Callithrix jacchus: one gene and its partners. The protein of the gene in region 3 interacts with the protein of the main gene of each other region in a pairwise test. Links are inferred from orthologs where the notes say so. Each region holds a gene or a part of one and is shown on either strand. Other genes may lie near its edges. The genes, in order: PIAS3, TOPORS, SATB1, UBE2I and PIAS4.

Region 1 (3,992 bases), on a different chromosome or scaffold from region 3:
AAAGGAGAGCCCAGGGGTAACCCTCCAGGGATGAGGCAGGAAGACTGAAAGAAATGTACCTGGATGTAAGAATCTGCTGCACTTGCTGGGGTGTGAGGGCAAAGGTAAAGTGTGCTTCCTCAAACCGCTGGCTGGAAGTGGATGCTGAGGACACAAAATGGCAGTTATTCCAAGCCCATGCACAGGCAGCCACAGAAATCACCCCCATCCATGCCGCCAATCCCACAGTACTAAAGCCTCTGAAATGTTTGGGGAACAGCCATGGAGTCCAGAAGACTAAGGGACCACAAAGAGCCATACCAAGGGTGGTGGGCCGGATGAGCTCCCCGTAGACCTCATAGAAGGGCAATGGTTTCATGGTGACATCAGGGTGCACAGGCTGGGGCAGAGGGGGGTGCATGTCCACCTCACGCTTGGGGCCCAGCAGGGTGCCAGGGGCCAACAGGGTTGGGGGAATGGGAGCTAGAGGGCCAGGGGAGCCTACAGGAGAGGTGCCAGGGGGCAAAGAGAGCAGGGAGAGATCAGAGGGCCCCAGGGCCTTCCGGGGAAAGCGACGTCGGTAAAGCTCTTTGATCTTCATCTGGACACTAGGGGCACAGCTGGACTTCAGGAGGTGCAGGGCCTTGGCCAGGAGCTCGTGCTTCCGTCCACTCTTGTTCCGGCCAGCAAAGCCAAGAAGCACCTGGAGCTCAGACACCCGGAAACTCATCACCATGTGCTGTGGAGAAGAACACAGGAGCCTGAGAATCCTACCTCGCACAGGCCTGTCCTGCCAAGACATGGGCTGAGCTACCAGTTGGGCAGTGCCTTTTTCCCTCCACCTTCCCTGATGGGGAAGATGATGCTTTAAGCTAGTGGATTACTGCCAGGTGGTCGACCTATCCAAAGGGACATCTCAGCCCCACTTTAGCAACCCAAAGGTCAGCAGATCACCACCCGCCAGAGCTTGAACAACACTATCTTCCCAGGCCTGCAAGCAGCCAGAGTGGGGCAGGGAATGCAGACAAGAAGCCATCCTCAGGCACACCTCCGAGTCCACTGCAGCATCCCACCACCATCCCTGCCTCTAGTCTGGACTGTCCTTTAAGCTGCTTATCTTCTCTCTTGCCCTTTCTCAGACTCTCAAACCCATCCCAGCCTCCTGGGAAGAGGACAGGAGACAGGGAGAACCAGGGAGAGGAGACAATTCACGCCAGACTCACCCATGGGGAAGAAAGGGGCCAGGTGGCTGGAGGATTGTGCCCTTCAGCCCACCCCCCAATCACCTTAATTTGCCTAGGCTATTTCCCCCAAGCCTCTGAAGCTTTTGTGGCCAGGATTTTCAGGTCAGGGTTCAATGCTCATAACTCCCCCAGATCCTTTCTTGGAATCATTTATATAACCGCCCCTTCTGTGAGACTTAGTCCTATTTTTCTGGAAGGGAAACAGGACCAAAACTTGGGTCTGGGGGTGGGGGGCTGTTAACAGTAAACCGCTGAGTCCAGGTATCCTGCCTGATAACTCTCTGTCTGTCAGGAACCATTATCCCGCTTCTCTCCTACATAGAGAAAGTAACACCCCGCTACAACCTACAGCCCCCCTGTAGGAGTGGAAGAGGAGAGGGCAGAGCTCTAAACAGAGGCCCTGGCTGGCTGAAGAAAAAGCCTCTGAGTCAGGGCACAGAATCGCAAATTCTCTGAAGGTAACTGGGCCCAGTGGCTAGACCTCCAGCCTGCCCAGGACCATAGCTTCATTGCAAAGGGCAGAAGAAGCAAGCCAGGAGGCAGGGGGATGAAGCCAGTGGTTTAAGGTTTTATCAGATGTCCTCACACGTGGTCATCCTCAAAACTCTGTGAGGCAGAAGGGGAGCGCTCTCCTTAGGGGACTCCCTTCTGTGAATCTCCAGGAGGTCATGTCGTGGGCAGGGCATGCTGGTCCTACACAATTCTTCTCATAGGAGGCTTTGTCTTGGGCCCCTTTTGTGGAACGTGATGAGAAACTTGCTCCTCTTTCTCCCCATCCTTATCTCCTCGGTCCTGTCTTTTTTTCCCCATTAGCTTTCCCTGTAACTTCCCTCCTTTCTATCCCACAGTTTCACGTGCCTCTGCCGCCGCCCAAACACCGCGATTCACTAAGGCAGCACCTTCCTCCGCGCCTCCAGGATGCTTCTGCCCCACCCCTCGGTGTCGGCCCGCACAGCCCCGCCCCCTACATCTCAGCCGCCTACTGGTATTTCCCAAAGCTCGGATCCCGAGAGCACCCCCAAAGCCCCTATCCTCTCGGCTGCCTTTCCCTCGGAGCCCCCCCCACATCTGCCCCACGGTCCCATCCTTGCATCTGCCCCCTGCTGTCGCATCTCTCGGCCTCGATGGACTCGCCCGGATGCCTCTACAGCAGCTTTTCCCCCTGGCCCTACCCCAACAACTGCCCCTGCTACTAAATCCGCCTGCTGCCCCTCGTCCCCGCCCCCTGCGCCTCAGCCCCCAGCAGCTGCAATTCCCCTCGGCCCCACCCCTACATCTGCCCCGCAGCCCCGCCCCCGGAGCCCGCCGCAGCCCCTTCCTCGCTCGCAGCCACTTCTCTCCCATCCTCAGCCGCCCGCCCCTGCCACGTCGCCGGCGCCCACCCGAGCCCCGGCACCCAGTCCCGGTCGCTTCCCGGACACGGCGCACCGCCGGGCTCAGGCCAGATGGGGGTGGGGGAGGGGGCCGGTACCTTTAATTCGCCCAGCTCCGCCATCTTGAGACATCGCAGGCGCCCCAGCCGGAGCCGGAGCTCAGGCCCAGGGACCGGCGCACAACTCTCCACCCCGGCGCCGGCCGCAAATGCCGCCTGCTCCGCCCCGTCCGGCCCCCTACACCTCCCCTTCCCGGCCCCGCCCGCCGGGCTTCGGACTAGCCCCAGCCTGAGCCCCTCCCTCCACAGCGGACCCAGCGGCTACACGTCTGCGGCGGGTTGGCAGGACGGGTGGCCTCCGAGGCAGCGTAAGGCCCCGAAGATCGCGGGGTCCCCGAAGGCAACGGAGAAGGAGGCGGGCCCGAAGTGCCCGGTGGAGGGTGGCTTTGCCACAGCAGAGTTGGGAGGGGACGAGCTTTTAGGGAGCCAAAGATCCTTGAAAGATGGAGGGAAAGTATCCGGAACTGCTAGACCTGAGAGAAATGGGGGAGGGGGCAGCGAAGTTGGAGCGCAAACCCTCGTCTCCAGCTCTACGTAAAGTTTAAGCAACTACGATCCAGAGTTCTTCCAGCCCGGGAAGTCAGCGAGCGCCGATCCGTCGTGGGGAAGCCGTGGAGTCGGCATTCGGTTCAAGACGGCCACGCTCAGTTGTTCCCACTCCTCCTCCCCCACACACCAACCACAATGCAGCTCGCGGTCCCATCGCAGGACCTCAGCTCCGCAGCGGAAAAGTTTGGTGCGGGGAGCGGGACTTACCAGCACAGCTGGGGGGAATGGAGAGAGGGCTCGGGAGGCTCAGAGGGCGGGCTGGAGAGGTGGGGGCAAGGGGCTCCGCGCCGCTGCTGCTGTCCGCTCGGCAGAAGTTCGGTCCGGAGCCGGACGCAGCGGCCGCGGCTCCGCCCGGGCCGGAGCTCCGCCCGGCCTAGCACTCGGGCTGGGGCCGCCCCCTCCAAGGGAAGCCCGCCAGGACCGCGGAGAGGGGAGCGGGGCGGAGCTCGGGTGAGAGAGGGAGGGACTCAGAGCCTGGCTCTGGAGCGATTAACTCCTGGTGTGAGTGGATCTGGAGAAAAGAGATTCTTGGATCCCATCATTCTCACTCCCTCTGTGACCCCTCACGCTAATGTATGGGATTGGGGTGGTGGGATGCTGCTGTTACGGCGGTGTGATCCAGGTGTCTGACCGTATAAAGCAGTCTTCCTTCAAAAGACAACTGTCCCTTCCTAGGGCAAAGCCTGGGCCGGTGAATCCAAAGCGTATCTAGCAGTAAGTACTGCAGATACACATGCACAATACCTCCACCAGAGTCCCCATACCCTTGGTGTAGCTGAAGGTGAATA
Region 2 (3,955 bases), on a different chromosome or scaffold from region 3:
TGGAACAGAACTATCACCTCTGTAGACTTAAGATTTTCTACTAACTGTATCTTTGTTTCTCTAGGGTGATACAATTGTGGAGACCGGAGAAGTAATTCCACCAATGAAAGAATTTCCTGATCAACATCATTAAAGATTATGTAAAAATTTAAAAGGCTTATGAGCCTAAGTTTGTTCCTACATTACCGTATTTACTGAATTATCTGGAAGAGTGACTTAATAAAGTTTAATCTCAGAAATTGTCATACCTCTTTTCAAGCACTGTACAATTTGAGACTGAGTAATTTAACAATAAATAAAAACTAAACATGCTAAACAAATTCGAGAGACCACTTACTTTTTGTGGCCATTCTCAACTTGGAAAACAGGATATGGAAAAGTATTTAGTTACATGTTAGGTTTTTTCCTTACATAGTACTTACTCTAATTTGGTATCAGGGTATATGCAGCAGAGTGAAATATCGCAATAAACAAATATAAGAGCAGAAAGTCCAGCACTTTTGTTTTAAATAAATCGTTCTGAGTCATTTAAAAGAATTTAGAAACTTGATTGAAAAGCCTATTCTAACCATGATCTGATACTCAAAGACTGTTTCGGATCTCGGTTGCTGTATTTTGTCATGAGAAGGTAAAATGCTAAAATTTCTATTTGAAAAATTTGCATACTAGTGCTTATTATAAAGGATAATACAAAAATAAACTTGGGAGCTTTGCATTATTAATTTTATTTTTAAATCTACATAAGCATGAGGGAAAGAAATGTAATTGCAGAGAATTAAATCCAGAGGAGTTACAAATTTTCATTCGTCCCAAAAATTATCTGGGTATTTCTTCCTTAGCTGTCGTCTTGCAGCCACCGTTGATGCATAGATGACGTAGCCCCAGGAGATTAAAACGATGGCAAGCAGCAACTAAAATAACCAAAAACCGCAAAAGAGGTGTGAAAACCAAAAAATTACTGTAATGTGCCTGATATTTCCCTTCGCCCCGGTCAGGTCACCCGTGCCATTGATAAGGTGGGAATTACAGTAGCAAAGTCGAATAAAGGGGGTTCCCGTGGCGGGTACACCCAGCAGCCCTCACGTAAGAAGCGGAAGATCGTATCCTCCAGGAAGAGGCGGAGTCGAGGTGAGGGAGTGAAATGCTTAATTCAAGAATGGATTTTGGAGTTACTGGGTGCTGACGAAATAGGGCCCTATGTCTGCAGGCCCAGTGAGTCGATAACGGTGGAGCCTCGCGAGCCCAGGGACCTACCACTGAGTAAATCCAGTCCAGCGTGCGACGACTCACTGGCTTCATGGTAAGGAGGCGGCAGCGGTCCGCGGGAGCCGGCGGGAGCTGCGGGCCTCATAGTAACCTCCCAGGCGGTGGCTGCCTAGCGGCAGCCGCCATCTTTCAGCCGGGCACAAGCGTCCGCCTACTCGCTTCTTGCAGCGCTTTCGCCGGCCTCTTCCGCCGGGAGTTGGGAGCGGGATCACGTGATCGGGGGCCTAGCCCGCCTTTTAGAGAGGGGAAGAAATAAACGTTAATTTTTTTAGAGAAAAATGTTAATTTTTTTCTTTCCAGCTAGAGAAATCGAGATAGGCGTGCTTCCACTGGTTTTCTTTCTAGTTGCAATGCATTAGTACTGCAGGATAAGGTGCTGTCGTGTCCATTTAAAAGTTAGTTTGGAAAACAATCTGTTTTAAATATTACATCGGCATCTAACGCTGGAAGAATTAACACTTTCTGCCCCGCCCCGCCTGCATCTGATACCACACAATTTTAATGGACGTTCGTCTGTTCATCTTTGACGTAAAAATAGCACCCACTCTTTTGTATGTGACAAATCATTGTGGGAACTCCTGTAAATCGAGCCATTCTTAAATGTGTAACTTGTAAAAATAATATCTCTAAGAAGAAATAGGTGGGACGCGTTAGCCGCCATAATGTACCAGTCAAGCAACAAGTGTTTGTTGAGCATGTCTGATGTTCTTCAACGGCCGCGCGTGAGATACTAAGCCCCGAGCACGGCAGTTTTGCGGGCGAGCGTACCAGGTTCAGCTCTAGAATGTTTGGGACGCTCACATTTAAGGCCTGAGGAGTAGAATCTGGCAACGGGCCGCTTTAGGCTCTAGACGTTCTTCATACCTCTCAGTTTCTCTTAAAAAGAGTGTCTAGATTTCAGGGAGTAGGAAGGGGAAAAGTGGAGAAAAACGTGTTTTGTTTGGGGAAGAGTCCAGGCCCTGTTTGTTAGGCTGTCCTGTTTCTCCCCAGCCTGGAGGGGATCCCTCTCTGAATACTTTATAGGATACTGGTTTTGGACTCCATGTCTTGCTTCCTGGAGATACACAATAGGAGGTGAGACTTCACGTCCGTGTAACAGTTCCCCTATCTAGACACTAGAGACAGTTTCGTAACTTCCCGCAGAGTTTGGTGAGCTTGAAACGACATCGAACTAGTTCTTGTGTTTTCTGGGTAAGTTAGGGGCGAACATTCAGCCAGTGTCCCAAGCGGCTGAGTACTACTGACGATGAGGGCCGTGCTCTCAGCCTGGGAGGGTCTCTCATCCCGGCTCTTGCGCGGCGGGGGAGGGGCCGCGTTTCAGCCGGCGCGCTGAGCCCCGCCCTCGAGGCTGGCGCGCGTCTGCTGCGCATGCGTGACGAAGGCGGGTGTTGTGTTGTGACGCGCCGGGAGCTGGGGGGTGGGTCTCGCTCTCTGCCCTGCTTCGGAGCTGCCATTGGTGATGAGCGCTTTGCGTCATAGGGGTCGCAGCAGCCACTGGGGTCTCCGCTGTCTCGCGAGGAGGGTGAAGCGCCCCCGCCTGCCCCCGCTTCGGAGGGTAGGCGGAGAAGTCGCCGGGTACGCCTTCGCGGATCCTGCCGTCACCGACCTACCTTTCTGGGCCGACGGGAGCTTGCGGCGAGCGCCCCAGCTGGGCCTGCGCCGGCGTCTTCCGAGGTGAGTGAGATCCGGAACAATGGGGCGCGGGGGTCGGCGGGGCTGGGCGAGCTGGCGCTCTCGCCTGGAGCGGCGCCTCGGGACCCGAAGGCTGCGGTCTTGGCCTGCGGTCTTGGCCTCCGAGGGCCAGGGCCGGGTTTCCCGGGCGGCTCCTGCAGCGCACCTGTGGATTGATGCGGGCGGGCGGGCGGGCGAGGGTTGCGCTTCCAACGAGCGCTCTCGAGGGGCGCGAGCTTGGCAGTGTACTGGAAAGAGCTTGGTCTCTGGGAAAAACAAAAAAGCAATGAGACTGAATCGTGGCGTCACCACTTACAGGGTGTGTGACCTTGCCTAGGTTCCCTAAGCCCCTGAATCTGTCTGTAAAATGGGAATAACAGTATTTAAGTTCATTATGTAATGCGCCTGGTGCTTATTTTAGGTCTGTCCGGTGGCAGTTCTGAACCAAAGCAAACGACTATCACCGTGGCTCTTGCACTCGTCTGTGCTGTTACGCATTCTGGGCAGAAATTGCCTGTGACTTGTTCATCCTTCCATTTACTGCAGCTTTCCTCATGGACTGCTGATTGTAGGCTGGAAAGGGGCAGTGCTGAGATGAGCCACATAGTGATTTAAGATGAAAACGGAGTAGACCTTTTGATAGGTAATTTTCAAGATTAAGATAAATTAAGAAACAGCTGCCCAAGATTTAAGTTAATGGTGGCAAGAGCTTTCTGGATTTTGTCCATGAAATGCAAAGAAAGCTATACAATCAGCTAAAACCAATCATGCTTGTCTGCAATGAGTCGTTTTAGAGGGGAGCAGTTCCCAACCAATTCTTATTGCTGGAATTGGAGTTAAATTTGGTAGGATCTCGTCAGGTAGATCCTACAAAAAATTTGATAGGATCTCGTCAGGTAGATCCTACAACTCTTGTGCATTCTTTTGGAATTGATTAAAATGCAGTTCAGAGAGGTACAGTGATTTTTTTTTAAGGTGGCAAGAGGTAGGAACCAGTTTATTTTTAATACTTGGGTAA
Region 3 (4,263 bases):
CCCAGGATCCACAATTAGTCCTACAATACTAATGCCTCTGTAAGCTCTGTCCTCTGGACTCACAGAATCCTACCAACTTCTGAAGATATGTAGTACACAGCAACCGTAGCTAAAAATCAGGATTTCCTACTGACACCAGAGAGGCTCTTTAGAGATTCTCTATTTGCTGTTTCTGTTGAACAAAAGCCGGCAATAAAACAGCTACATCTTTCTATATGTGAGTCTTCACCAAAGCTTTAGTGAACTGTTCACAAGAGATTCTAGCTCTGACAAATAAACCCCTTTAGGTTTACTTAGGAAAACTCACAAACTCATTCAGAGGTACCAATAGGATAAGCATGAAAAACAAGCTGCAGAGCTTGCCAATATTTTTGTCATTCATTCAGCTGTTTTATACCAGCGAGAGAACCCGTCAGGGATCAGAAGACAACTTGGGGAGACCACAGCAAAAATAGCAATACGCAAACTGGTGATTTCTTCCTTGGCTTGAAGATATTTTGACAAAATCGCCTAAACAAATAAAAACATTCAATCCCTTTTTCTTAGTAGTGCTTTCTCATCTCAGCCATAATTTTCATCTAGCACCTGTCAGACAGAAACCATGCACAAGAAAAATAAGATGGAAATATTAATAAAAATCCATGAAAAGGCTTTAGCAATTTTGTTATTTGAAGTATCTGAGGCCCTTCTACAATTAAACTGCATTTTTAGCATACATCCAAAAAACAAAACAAAAAAGCATTTGAGCAGGAAGTGAATTTACTGTACTTTTAGTTCTTCCTCCTCCTGTCCTGATATCTTCAAGGAGTCGAGTAAGTACAACAAAAACACACATATTGATTCTTCCTTTTGAAGGATTAAACAGATGTATTCTACAATATGCTTTTCCTTAGACCTATGAACTGCAGGGTTTTCAAACTATTGAAATATATTGGATTTATTTTGGATTTTATCGATTATGTTTAGAGGTACCCTAAAATAATAAAGATGTCTATAAAGTAACAAGAGTATCATCTAATTACAGATCTTCTAGCAAACTGTTGCGGTTACCCTCCTGTTCCTGGGAATAACGCTGAACATAAGCCTTCTCTGAACTGTCTGATTATTCGTGCAAGTGTTCGGTGAGAGTTCCAACTACAGCGACTTCATAACCTTCCAGCATTTAAAGGGGAGAGCACTGGTCACTGCTGAATGCTAAAAATACCACATGATTTAAACCTGAAGGCAGTCTTAGAAGCTTTTGCTGAAGGTTTATGAGCCTGTGTAAACAGCACGTCTGCCATAAGGAGCAGTGAAGTCTGTAGAATCCTTGTCTAAAACTGTCCTGGCATTAAAGTTTGCTGTGCAAATATCACATAATACCAGAGACAGCTGAAATCTCCTATTTAGGAATTTATGGAACTTACATGTTTGCAGGCGTCAGAAAGTCTTTTTTATAGAGCCCCAGTGCTTCACAGTACAATATTAATGTACTCTGTTTGAAAAGCCGTAATAAATTATATTTTTAATGCTCTTACCCTGGCTTTCTTAAGATGCATACATTCTTGGCAAACAATCAATAAATAGGGTAATCATGAGTAGAGGCCAAAGAATTTGCTGAAGTGCTGTTTTTCCATTTTTAATAGATAAAGATCTAACAATACGGACTGCTGTGTCTGTTCATTTCAGGATCAATATATTCTTTGTTTTCGCCAAACCAAGGAAAAAATAAATGATTGTATGATAAATGTTATGCATCAAACACAATGAAATTCCTCTGCCTTCTAACTTTAGCTACTTAATATTCTTGGTTGCTAAAATATAGCATTTTTAATCCATTGCTTAGCTATTATAAGGAAAATCTGATTCCTATACATGTTATTTAGACACAGAATGAAGCTCCTTATGAGGCACAGGCATTACACCCGGGAGAGGCACTGCTTTACAGGAACAACACTGTTAAACACAGTCAAAGTTGTTAAACCGCATCAATTTAATATTGATAGAAAAGAGTCACACAGTTACACATCTTCCCCTTTAAACTTGTCTAAATCTGTTCTTTCTTCATCAAGCATACCCAATTAAAACAAAAATTAAAGACCAGAATCATCAGATTTTTCAATACTAATGAATTTTCTCTGAAGAAAATAAGCCACGAAAAATAACATGACAAACTTCTGTGTAAGACTTTTAAGATCTCTGAAACTGCCTTACAACCAAAAATCTTAGAAAGAAGCTAGGGTAGCTCTCAAACCACCTAAGTGTTTTATTCTTAATCAGGTTAGTTTAAAGCAACAGCCGCCTACAATCCTCTACTGTAACACCTTGTGAATGGACCCCTGTGTAAACTAAGACCATTATATTTAATTCAGTCCTTAGAATCTGAAATGTCCAATGATTCCAGACTACAGTAAAATGCTCCACCCAAGCATGGAGCCTATACTTTCTAACATGATTGATACTAAGGACCCAGAATGTAACTAATTTAAGATCAGAAAGAGAATAAAGGCAGAGTATACAAAACATGTTCTGCCACTCCACCCCCACACAATGTGGCCTTGTGTAGACACCAGGGCTTTCAGCTTTCCAGGATTTGGCTTGAGAGTATTTACCTTTCCTAAGGTTGGTTTTCATCAGATGGCCCGAATGTTTTAAAGGCACTCCCTGCATTTTTGCACCTGTACTCCCAAGCCTTCCTCTTCCTAGTGGGCTCCCGTTCTGCTCCAGGCGGGCAATCTTGGCTGGTGGACCCTTCGGATCACTCACATTGTTAGACATTTCTGAATGTTCTTTCCCCTGAGTTGCCTCGTTCAAATGATCCATACTCAGTCACTGTCTAAAGATCACCTGCCAGAATTTAAAAAGAAGACACGTTACAATTGGTTGGGGACCCGTATGCATATATGTGTCCTATGTAAATGTTTTAGCTCTAGATATCTCTCTCTACTAATATAATGTATTTGTAAAATGGCCTTTCTAGATAAAATACAGATGTTACTATGTTTCTAGATAATAGCCCTACATTCTTATTCAAATTAACAGAATGATCTGTGGAAACTGTACCAATACACATGAATAAAAAGGTAATTGGCCTATAAAAAAAAAGCGAGGAAAAATGGGCTTACTTTTAGAATTATCAGAAGTATAGCTAAAAAGAAAACAGCAAATTGTATTTATGCAGTCCCAATTTTTAACAACTAGAAACTCATTACAAAAAGACAGCAGAAACACTTTAATAAAGGATGGAAAGATTATCACAGTTCAAAATATTAGAAATCTAATGTATATGTTTCTATTTTTACATATGTTTTAATTCTTATAAAAAACACATAAACCAGCTCTAAAGAAAGTAACAAACATCTAACTGCTTTTTAAACTCCCCAGTGGCATAAGTTAATGCCTAGAAAAAGTTTTCTACTACCAAAGTTTCAAGAGTTATGTGACTTGTTAAAGACCTAGTCAAGTTTTGGGTCAAACACATGATTGGATCAGTTTACCCCTAAGCAAACAGAAAGAAGTGAAAGGTTTTCAAATATCCAATGTACTGATGCATTAAACTCATGTGTTTTAGAGTTAATATTTAGGTGTACATTAGTAATAGAGGGCTGTTAAAAATAAATATTTTTTAAAAATTGAATATAGTTCATGATATGCACATTAGGTTGAAGTGTCAAGCTATAGGAAAAAAAAAAAAACAAAAAAACCTTGATGATAATGGTAAAACAAAATATCCAGTATTCAGAAATAACCTCAGCATGCAATGGCGTTAACATCATAATTAACTTCAAAACATTAACAGATAATTATTTTCAGTTATGTATTAGACATCAATTTTCACATCATTTACAGTAAAGTGATTAGACAATATAAAAGTCATTTTTAAAGTATAGTTTTAACTAGGATTGATAAGAACAGGTAATTAGAATTATTTTATGAACTTTCATGGTGTTTGAAGTATTGAGCTCATAAAACTAAGGGTTTCATATTTAGGAAAACCAGAGAATAATTACCATTTTTCCTAGCTGTCTAGTAATTTGACATAGCTTGTTTTTGTTTTAAATTCTTATACTGAAGCTATTTAAATCTGGATTTGTTGAAAGCCAGTTTGTATCAGCATGGTTTTTCTGTAAACATTTTTTTCTTCTGTTTAACCATAGCCTACTTCTTACCATATAATCAAGAAAAGGGGGACAGCAATGTTAATCTAGAGATTTAAAAGCAACCTTAAGAATACCAATTGAAGAACTATAAAGTTTGAGAAACATTAATGGCTATTTATCTTTG
Region 4 (4,042 bases), on a different chromosome or scaffold from region 3:
CAGGGCACCAGGGTTCCGGAAGCCGGGCAGGGTTGCTAGAGCCGCGTGCCCTGCAGGGGGATTTGGTTCATTTTCACCAAACACGGGTTCTCATGGTAGTCCGAGAAAAAGCAGGCAGAGGAACCTGGGTCCTCCAGTCAGCAGGCGCTGGTGGCACTGGGAGAGAGTGACAGGGGCCACTGGGCCCTGGCCTCCAGCTCCACGACTAAGTCCAAGACAGGCAGCCGGGGCTGGAGGCAGCCACGGACTGGGCCCCACTGGGATGTCCTTCCCCACATCTTCCTCACTGAGACGCAGAGGGTCCACAGGCCACCTGCCCTCCTGACCGCTTGCCCTTCCCCACACCCTCCTCTAAGTCGGGAGAAAGTGGGGGAGGACACAGCTGGGCCGAGCTGGGGGCAGGCAGGGTATGGGTCCCAAGCAGGCTGGAGTGCTCGCCAACCACGGTTTCAAGGTTCTCTCTGCACTGGCTGGGGTCTGAAACTCCACACCCCAGCCGGTGTGGAGTTTTCTCCACCTTCCCCTTCCATTGGCTCTTCCACATGGAGTAGCCCAGCACCACCTTGGTACCGGCGGCCTGAGAACTCAGGGGCTCTTGCTTCCCCAGCCCCAGGGAGGAGTCTCTGAGTGGCTGCAACCTGTGCCCTGTGCAGTGCATAGCAGCCTGGCGAGTGGCTGTTTCACGAAGGCGCCAGCTCCCAGGTGCCCATGGTCTGAGCGGGGCCAGGCATCAGACGGGCCTCTGAAGCCCCAGACCAGCGCTCCAGTCACTGAAGGACCATGGGCACCGATGCTCACAGCCAGGCAAGACCAGGCCATGGAGAGGCCAGCAGGCCTGGGACTCTGCCACAGGTGGCCTTCCTGCTGAGGACTGGACAGGGCCGCCCAGAGGCCGTGCTCAGCCCCCAGCTATTGTTGCCTCAGGTGTGAGAAGTCATGAGGGTGGTCCTGCCAAACCTCCTGCCAAGACCGGGCTGCTGCCGCTGTGCCGCCAGCCCCAAAGCACTCAGCACCAGGCGGGGGTCGTACAGGACACTCTACCATCAGGGCAGGGAGCCACAGGTGCACACCCACCCATCCTAGGCAGAAGCCAGGCCTGGCCTCCAAGATCCCTGCTCCCCCTCCTGCTGGCCTGCCCACTGGAGAAAGTGGCCCATCTGTTACAATGTAATCACAACACAGACCCAGCATTCAAAAATCCCACTGAAAACTGAATCCATCCTCCCCAACTAACAGATAGGCACTTAGTGAACAGCTAGGAGTCACTAAGGGCTTCAAAACAGGAAACTTTTACGCTACAAACACAAAAACAACTCTTCTGTCAGCGCCAGGCAAGGCCCAGACACCGGCAGCAACGGGACCTCTGGGCCGGGCACTCCAGGAGCTGCCCGAAAGTCTGCCGCCTGCCCTCCCACAGGGCACACGCAGAGGGCTGAGCTTGAGCATGTCCGATCACCACCTGGCTCTGCTGGCCGACTGCACCCACTTCAGAGCAACTTCCTGGCTGAGGGTGAGCAAAGCGCCCATCTCCCACAGTGCCGCCCACAGCTCCGCAGCCCTCATCACCAGAACAGGTGGGCGCCCCGACAGGCTCGCACCTGAAGCCCTCAAAGGTCCTCCTGCACCCAAATGCACACTCTCCCAGGCCCGGGAGGATGTTCCCTTCTGCACGACCCGGGCACCTGCAGTCGGGACACGCTCACCTGGCCGCACCTGACCTGTCTGTCCCAGGCCCCCGGGCTGTTTCCGCAGCGAGATCCCAAACCCCGGGACACCTGCAGCCACCCAACAGCCTAGGGAAGGGACCTCTTTGTGAGCCCCCAGGGCAAACTGAGGGTCCTTCCTGTGTTCTCTCCGCTAGGTTCTCTACCCAAAGGCAACGTTTCTTTAAAGAGCAAGAAACGGGTGGGGTGAGTCCTAGGGAGAAAACCGACGAAATCCCCCAAGACTCCGCGGACAGAGGAACTAAACGTGACTCCCGACTCCACACCCCGAACCACTTCGTCCTGCGCTTCGCGCCTGACCGCAGGCCACGACCACAAGCCCAGCGCGTCACCCCGCACCTGCCTCCTACGGCCCCAACTTCCAGAGCCAACCACGATTCAACCGGTACAAAGCGGCCCGAGACCGGACCAAACTCCCACCAGCGGCGCCGGCGGGGCGTCTTCAGCGGCGCGAGAGAACTTGGACGCGTTTCGGTTTGAAGGCCCCGAAGAGCCGCCCGCCCGCCCGCCGGCCCCCACCCGCGCGAGTCAGCGCTGTTGCAATCCGCGGCTCTCCCCCCGGAGGCCCATCCTCGTCGTCCGCGGGCGACCGTGACCCCGGAAGCCGCTCGCCGCGGAGGAGGAAGGCGCGGCCTCGCGGGGCCCCGGCTGCAGGTGGCTGCCCCGGCCCCGCGCCAGGCGCACCTCGAGGGCGAAGTGGGGGAGCCCCGGCCCCGAGGGCCTACGGCGAACCGGGCGCTCGGGCTACAGCCCCGCGACGCCAGCACCGCGGGCCGGGCCGGCGTCGAGCGCGGGGCCTCTCTGGGAAGCTCGGCCGCGACGCGGGGCCCGGGCTCGGCGGGGCGGGGCGCGGGGCAGCCGGGGGCCCGGGCCCGACAGCGCTGGAGGCCTTAGCCCGCCCCCGCCCCGCGGCCCCGGCCCGGCCCCCGCCCGCGCTCACCTCGGGCGGCCGCGGCCCCGGCGAGCGTCGCGGACAGGCGGAGGACCGAGCGGGGCGGCGGCGGCGGCGCTTCCCTTTGTCTCGGGACTTCCCTCCGGAGCCCGCTCCGCGCGCAGCCCGAGCAGCTCCGAGGACCCTGGGGCGGGCGGGGCGCGCGAGGCGGGGCCTGGCGCGGGGCTGCCCTCCGCAAGCCTGCCTCGCGCGCCGCCGCCGCCGTCCCGCCCCGAGTGCTGCCCGCGCCACCACCCGCCCCCCGCCGCCCGGGCCCCGCCACCGCGCGCCCGCGACCCGGGTCCGCCCCAGGAGCCCGGTCGGGGGGCGACTTTCCAGTCAGGCGGCGCCCTGGACACCTACACCCTTAAAGGAGCCGCGTCCCCGATGTGAGGGAGCGTCTGCAAACTCCCCTTCGGGGCGCCCGCGTCCATCCGAGGACGCGCCGGCGAGCAGCGGGGGCAAAAGGAGGCCGAGAACTCCAAAAGCTCCCTGGATACCCGGAAGTCACCTCTCCAGGCACACGTCCCGGAGGTTTCCTTGGGGTCAGGGCCTGGGGTCTGGGGGCAAAGACCACTGAGGCCTAAGGATACCCTGAAGCGTCGCAGGACGGTGACGCTCCCGCTAGTTTAGCGCCCTGTGAAACCTCTTGCAATTGGCCAGTTCGGGGCGGCGGGCGGGGAAATCTTCTCATCCGCCCAATGAGCTGACCCGGTACAAAAGGCCGAATGCGCGCATGACCGACGGGAGGAGAAGTGAGGATGTTCCCTAACCTGGGGGCGGACCCTGGGCGGGGGCGGGGCGCGGGGCCTGCGAGCGGCGGGGGCGGGGCGGGCCCGTGGGGGAGGGGCGCTTCCCGGCCCCACCCCCACTCCCATCCCCGCGCCAACCGCGGGGACCGGGTCGGGAGGCCCCCAGCCCCGCGAGCGCGCTGGACGCTCCGCCAACGCGCGGCTGTGCTGGCCCCGGGCTCTCCTGGCCCGCCCACCCCCATTTCGCCGACGGCGGGGTCGCTGCCAAGGTCACTGTGTCCGGGCGCTTGGGGACCACGGGGAATGACCGCATTCTTTCATTCCCTCCCTCACTGACTCATTCATTCATTCATTCATTCCTTTACTCGCTCACTCATTCCTTCACTTCCTCAATCATTTCCTCCCTCATTCATTCTCTCCCTCATTCACTCATTCCCACCCTCACTCATTCCCTCCCTCACTCATTCCCTGCCTCACCCATTCCCTCCCTCACTCATTCCCTCCCTCACTCATTCCCTCCCTCACTCATTCCCTCCCTCACTCATTTCCTCCCTCACTCATTTCCTCTCTCCCTCATTCGTTCCCTCACTCATTCCCTCCATCTCTCACTCTTTCCCTCCCTCACTCATTCTCTC
Region 5 (3,511 bases), on a different chromosome or scaffold from region 3:
CCTCGACCTTTTTTTATTTCCATTTTTTAAAAACAATTAAATTAGAATACAAATACTAGAAAACTGTGGCCTTCAGCTGCCCGGGGCCGGGCTGCCGGCTCTGCAGAGACTGAGCTGCCCTGGGCCAGATGCACGTCCCTTTCTGTAGACCTGAAATGATATTGCTTCCTGACTAGGAGTTCTGTTTATACAAAGGAAGATTCTGGGCCGGGGAAGACAAAAGCAAAACAGACCGCAAGGAGCGGTGTTGGAGAACCAGGTGAGGCCGGCGCCCCGCCTGCGCCCCGGTCTCCTGGGGGGCGAGGGGTCGCCCAGCTACAGGCTCCTGGAGGCAGAGCCCCCAAAGCCCCCCCTTGTTGGACCCTGAGGCCAAGGGCATGGGTGGGGCCTATGAGGGGCAAGGAACCCCTGGGGACAGGAGGGAGGCCCCGTCTGGTCTGGTCCCGCTGGAAGAGCGAGGCTCCCGGGGGACAGGGTGCCGGGCCAGCCTCGTACCCGTCGGAAAACCCAAGAGCAAAAAGAAGGGAGAGGAATCAACCCAAACCGAGAGCCAGGGCGGCCGGAGTCCCCACTGCCCCTTGGGAAGCCACCACCCCCCGTCCTGAGGACCAGGGTGTGGTGGTGGCGGCGGTGGCAGCTGTGGACATCTGTGGACATCTGTGCTGTTCCGTAGGGAAGTTAACCTGAATTGGAATTACCGAGGTAGCTGGCTAGAAAACTGAGACCCCCCCACGCCACACGGTGCCGCACCCTGACCCCCACCTTCCCCAGGGGTTCCTGGCCACACGCCGGGTCTTCAAAATACCAAATTATTGCACTTTCAAAAAATACAACACATCTGTGGCTAAACCCTCCCCAGCCCCCAACCGTGCCCTCAACCTGCCCGCCCTCCTCCCACTCCTGCCCCTCCCTGCCCCAACCCACTCCATGGCTTCTTGGCTAAAACGCTCGCTGCTAGGAGCGTGAGGGTCTCTGGGTGAGGCCGCGTTTGCAGAGAGAAAGCAAAGGAAGAGACACACGACAAAGTGGCTGCCAGAGAGGGGCTGCGCCCCACCCCGCCGCCCGGGTCCCTGCGCCCTGGCTGAAATGGTCATGGGAAGAGGGCAGCGGGCAGCAGGGTGTCCTGAGGGGAGGATGCGGGGCGGCGTCCTGGTCCCTCCCGCCCACCACCCCTGCCCGGCTCTGACTCCAGCCGGGGAGGTGGCTGTGTGGGTGGCCGGCCTTGTTTTTAAGAGTTTGACTTTTTCGTTTCATTTTTTTTGTATTTTTTTTTTTTTTGTCATTTTACTGTTTTTTAATCCCCTGACAGGAGAGTCCAGAGGTACAGGTGCCAGGAGCCAGGCAACGGGGTGGAAAAACAAAACGAACGACAATAAAAAGAAAAAAAAGGTCACTCCTCCCTCTGCGCCCAAGGCCGGCCCCGCGCCCCTCTGCGTGGTGAGCACCAGGAAAGTCGCGTGTCCGGCCAGGGTCAGCAGGCTGGCACCAGGCCCTTCTGGAAGGGGCAGCGGCGCTTGGGCCGGGGGCCCTCGTCGTCCTCGTCCTCGTCCTCCTCCTCCTCTTCCTCCTCATCCTCCGAGGACGATGAGCTGTCCAGCGTGAGGTCCACCACGTCTGTGCCCGGTTTCCCATTCTCCACACTGCCCGCTGGGCCGCCGCCACCCGTGCTGCCCAGTGCACTACTCCCGTTGACACTGGGAGTGGGCAGGAGCCCACTGGCATCTGAGGGGCCTGCAGGCGACAGGCACAGGACGAAGGTACTTAGGACGCAGCTACTGACAAATAGGGAAACTGAGGCGGCCTGGCTGGGGACCGTGCAGTCAGCGGTGGCGAGGCACTCACCCAGCACGAGGATGGTGCCCTGTGGGCTGCAGCTGCGCTCCTTCTCGGCACGGATTGGGCACCATGAGCCGTCCACCAGGTATTCGATCTCGTCGGCGTCCTCACACTCGCTCAGGATCTTCGAGAGGAGGCTGGAGCAAGGCAGAGAAGCTGAGCCCTGGGCTGGGGGCACCCCGCCCACGCAATCCACAGCACACCATCCCGTTCAAATGCAGCCAGCCACTGCCCACTTCTCTGTGCCAGAGCGCCTTCACCACCCCGACCAGGGCGGCCCAGGAGCACTGCCTTCCTTCCCTGCCACGGCCCCTGCAGCTGCTGAGCCCTAGGCAGGTCTGCAGGTACACACATGCATATGTGGATGGTGTGGCCATGAGCACGTGTGAGTGTATGTACGTGCACACATGTGAATGTATGCATGTGTGGATGTGCACACACGTGTATGTGGATTGTTCGGACGTGGGCACATGAGCATGTGCATACATGGGCATGCGCTGTGTTAATGTAGGCACGCGTGCATGTGAAGGCGCAGGCTGCAGACATGTAAGCATGTGGCGTGCACGTGCCAAGTGTGAGCCTGTGGGGGTGCGCACACTCATGCCTTCACATTGCACTGTGTGCCAGCAGACCAGGAAACCTCCTTGGGGGGAAGGTGTGGGCTGCTCAAAGATCCTGCAGAGGCTGTGAGGGTAGCACTGGGAGCAGAGCGGGGATCCCCCCATGCCCATCACAGCCACAGCCTCTCCAGAGCTTGCACCCCACCCAGTGTCCGGCCTTCTTACTCAAGAGTCCTAACAGCCCTATTTTATAAATGGGCAAACAGAGGCCCAGGAAACGGATGAGTCCTGAGGACCCAAGGACAATCGGAGGCAGGCCCTGGTTCTGGGGCATCCTAGCCAAAGGGCCTCGGTCTCCCCACCTGCAGAATGGGAAGGGTGCAGTGGCCAACGGGGGCATCTGAAGGGAGACCCCCCCATGCCCACAGGTATAGGCAGGGCCACGTATCACAGAGCAGGCTGGCCTGTAACTGTCAAGGCTGCAGCGGCTCCCAGGTGCCTGCGGCAGCGTCACTCTCATCACCAAGGAGAAGAGGCCTCTTCACGCTCTGGGCCACCCTCTGAGGCCTATGGGACTCCTCTCACCCAGGTCAGCCCCGCCCACCCCTCCTACCCTCACCCTGAGGCAATGCTCAGAGCTCACTGTGCCAGGGCCATCCCAGGCATGGGACCAGCTCTGCCTGCTTGCTTCTTTGCCTGCAAACTCCTACTCAGCCTCTGAAACCCCATCCCACAGCGTCCCTTCCCCTCCTTGACAGGCACAGCAGCAGGAACATTATGCCTGGCTCTGCTCCTCCATCCGCCCCTAGCAAGGCTCTCCAAAGGCAGGGTCTGGGAAATGACTCTTTTGGGAACCCTGGGGTCACCCAGCTCAGGGCTAGGGACAGACAGGTGACAGGCCTCATGGAGAAATGTATGAACCAAGGAGCCCTCCTTCAGGAAGCCTCCCTGGCTACACGGAGTACCGGTGGCTGCTGAGACCAAGGCCTACGTGGGTCACGGCTGCCTGGCCCAGCCCTGCCAGCCCTGGAGCCGAGAGCCCAAGCCCAGCTCAGGCCTGTGGGGGAAGGCGGGCAGCGGCCGCACAGCTGTCAGGCCGGGAACAGAGAGGCCAT

Evidence for each region.
Region 1: the proteins of SATB1 (region 3) and PIAS3 interact in a two-hybrid assay, tested with the Homo sapiens proteins (2 studies listed by BioGRID and IntAct). The link is inferred for Callithrix jacchus from reciprocal best matches to the Homo sapiens genes SATB1 and PIAS3.
Region 2: the proteins of SATB1 (region 3) and TOPORS interact in a two-hybrid assay, tested with the Homo sapiens proteins (2 studies listed by BioGRID and IntAct). The link is inferred for Callithrix jacchus from reciprocal best matches to the Homo sapiens genes SATB1 and TOPORS.
Region 4: the proteins of SATB1 (region 3) and UBE2I interact in a two-hybrid assay, tested with the Homo sapiens proteins (3 studies listed by BioGRID and IntAct). The link is inferred for Callithrix jacchus from reciprocal best matches to the Homo sapiens genes SATB1 and UBE2I.
Region 5: the proteins of SATB1 (region 3) and PIAS4 interact in a two-hybrid assay, tested with the Homo sapiens proteins (2 studies listed by BioGRID and IntAct). The link is inferred for Callithrix jacchus from reciprocal best matches to the Homo sapiens genes SATB1 and PIAS4.

The regions. Positions count from the first base shown.
Region 1 is NC_133519.1:8,291,595-8,295,586, forward strand, and holds the start of PIAS3 (E3 SUMO-protein ligase PIAS3), read right to left. Parts: upstream 2,810-3,992; 5' UTR 2,719-2,809; coding exon 2,695-2,718; intron 719-2,694; coding exon 301-718; intron 145-300; coding exon 60-144; intron 1-59. UniProt on the Homo sapiens protein: Functions as an E3-type small ubiquitin-like modifier (SUMO) ligase, stabilizing the interaction between UBE2I and the substrate, and as a SUMO-tethering factor.
Region 2 is NC_133502.1:139,735,158-139,739,112, reverse strand, and holds the start of TOPORS (E3 ubiquitin-protein ligase Topors), read left to right. Parts: upstream 1-1,147; 5' UTR 1,148-1,297; coding exon 1,298-1,300; exon of another isoform or gene 1,301-1,407; intron 1,408-2,745; coding exon 2,746-2,940; intron 2,941-3,955. UniProt on the Homo sapiens protein: Functions as an E3 ubiquitin-protein ligase and as an E3 SUMO1-protein ligase. Probable tumor suppressor involved in cell growth, cell proliferation and apoptosis that regulates p53/TP53 stability through ubiquitin-dependent degradation.
Region 3 is NC_133518.1:57,115,765-57,120,027, forward strand, and holds the start of SATB1 (DNA-binding protein SATB1), read right to left. Parts: upstream 2,809-4,263; 5' UTR 2,803-2,808; coding exon 2,592-2,802; intron 1-2,591. UniProt on the Homo sapiens protein: Crucial silencing factor contributing to the initiation of X inactivation mediated by Xist RNA that occurs during embryogenesis and in lymphoma.
Region 4 is NC_133513.1:3,564,864-3,568,905, reverse strand, and holds the start of UBE2I (SUMO-conjugating enzyme UBC9), read right to left. Parts: upstream 2,801-4,042; 5' UTR 2,665-2,800; intron 2,335-2,664; exon of another isoform or gene 2,068-2,334; intron 1-2,067. UniProt on the Homo sapiens protein: Accepts the ubiquitin-like proteins SUMO1, SUMO2, SUMO3, SUMO4 and SUMO1P1/SUMO5 from the UBLE1A-UBLE1B E1 complex and catalyzes their covalent attachment to other proteins with the help of an E3 ligase such as RANBP2, CBX4 and ZNF451.
Region 5 is NC_133523.1:3,790,943-3,794,453, reverse strand, and holds part of PIAS4 (E3 SUMO-protein ligase PIAS4), read right to left. Parts: intron 1,974-3,511; coding exon 1,843-1,973; intron 1,732-1,842; coding exon 1,472-1,731; 3' UTR 1-1,471.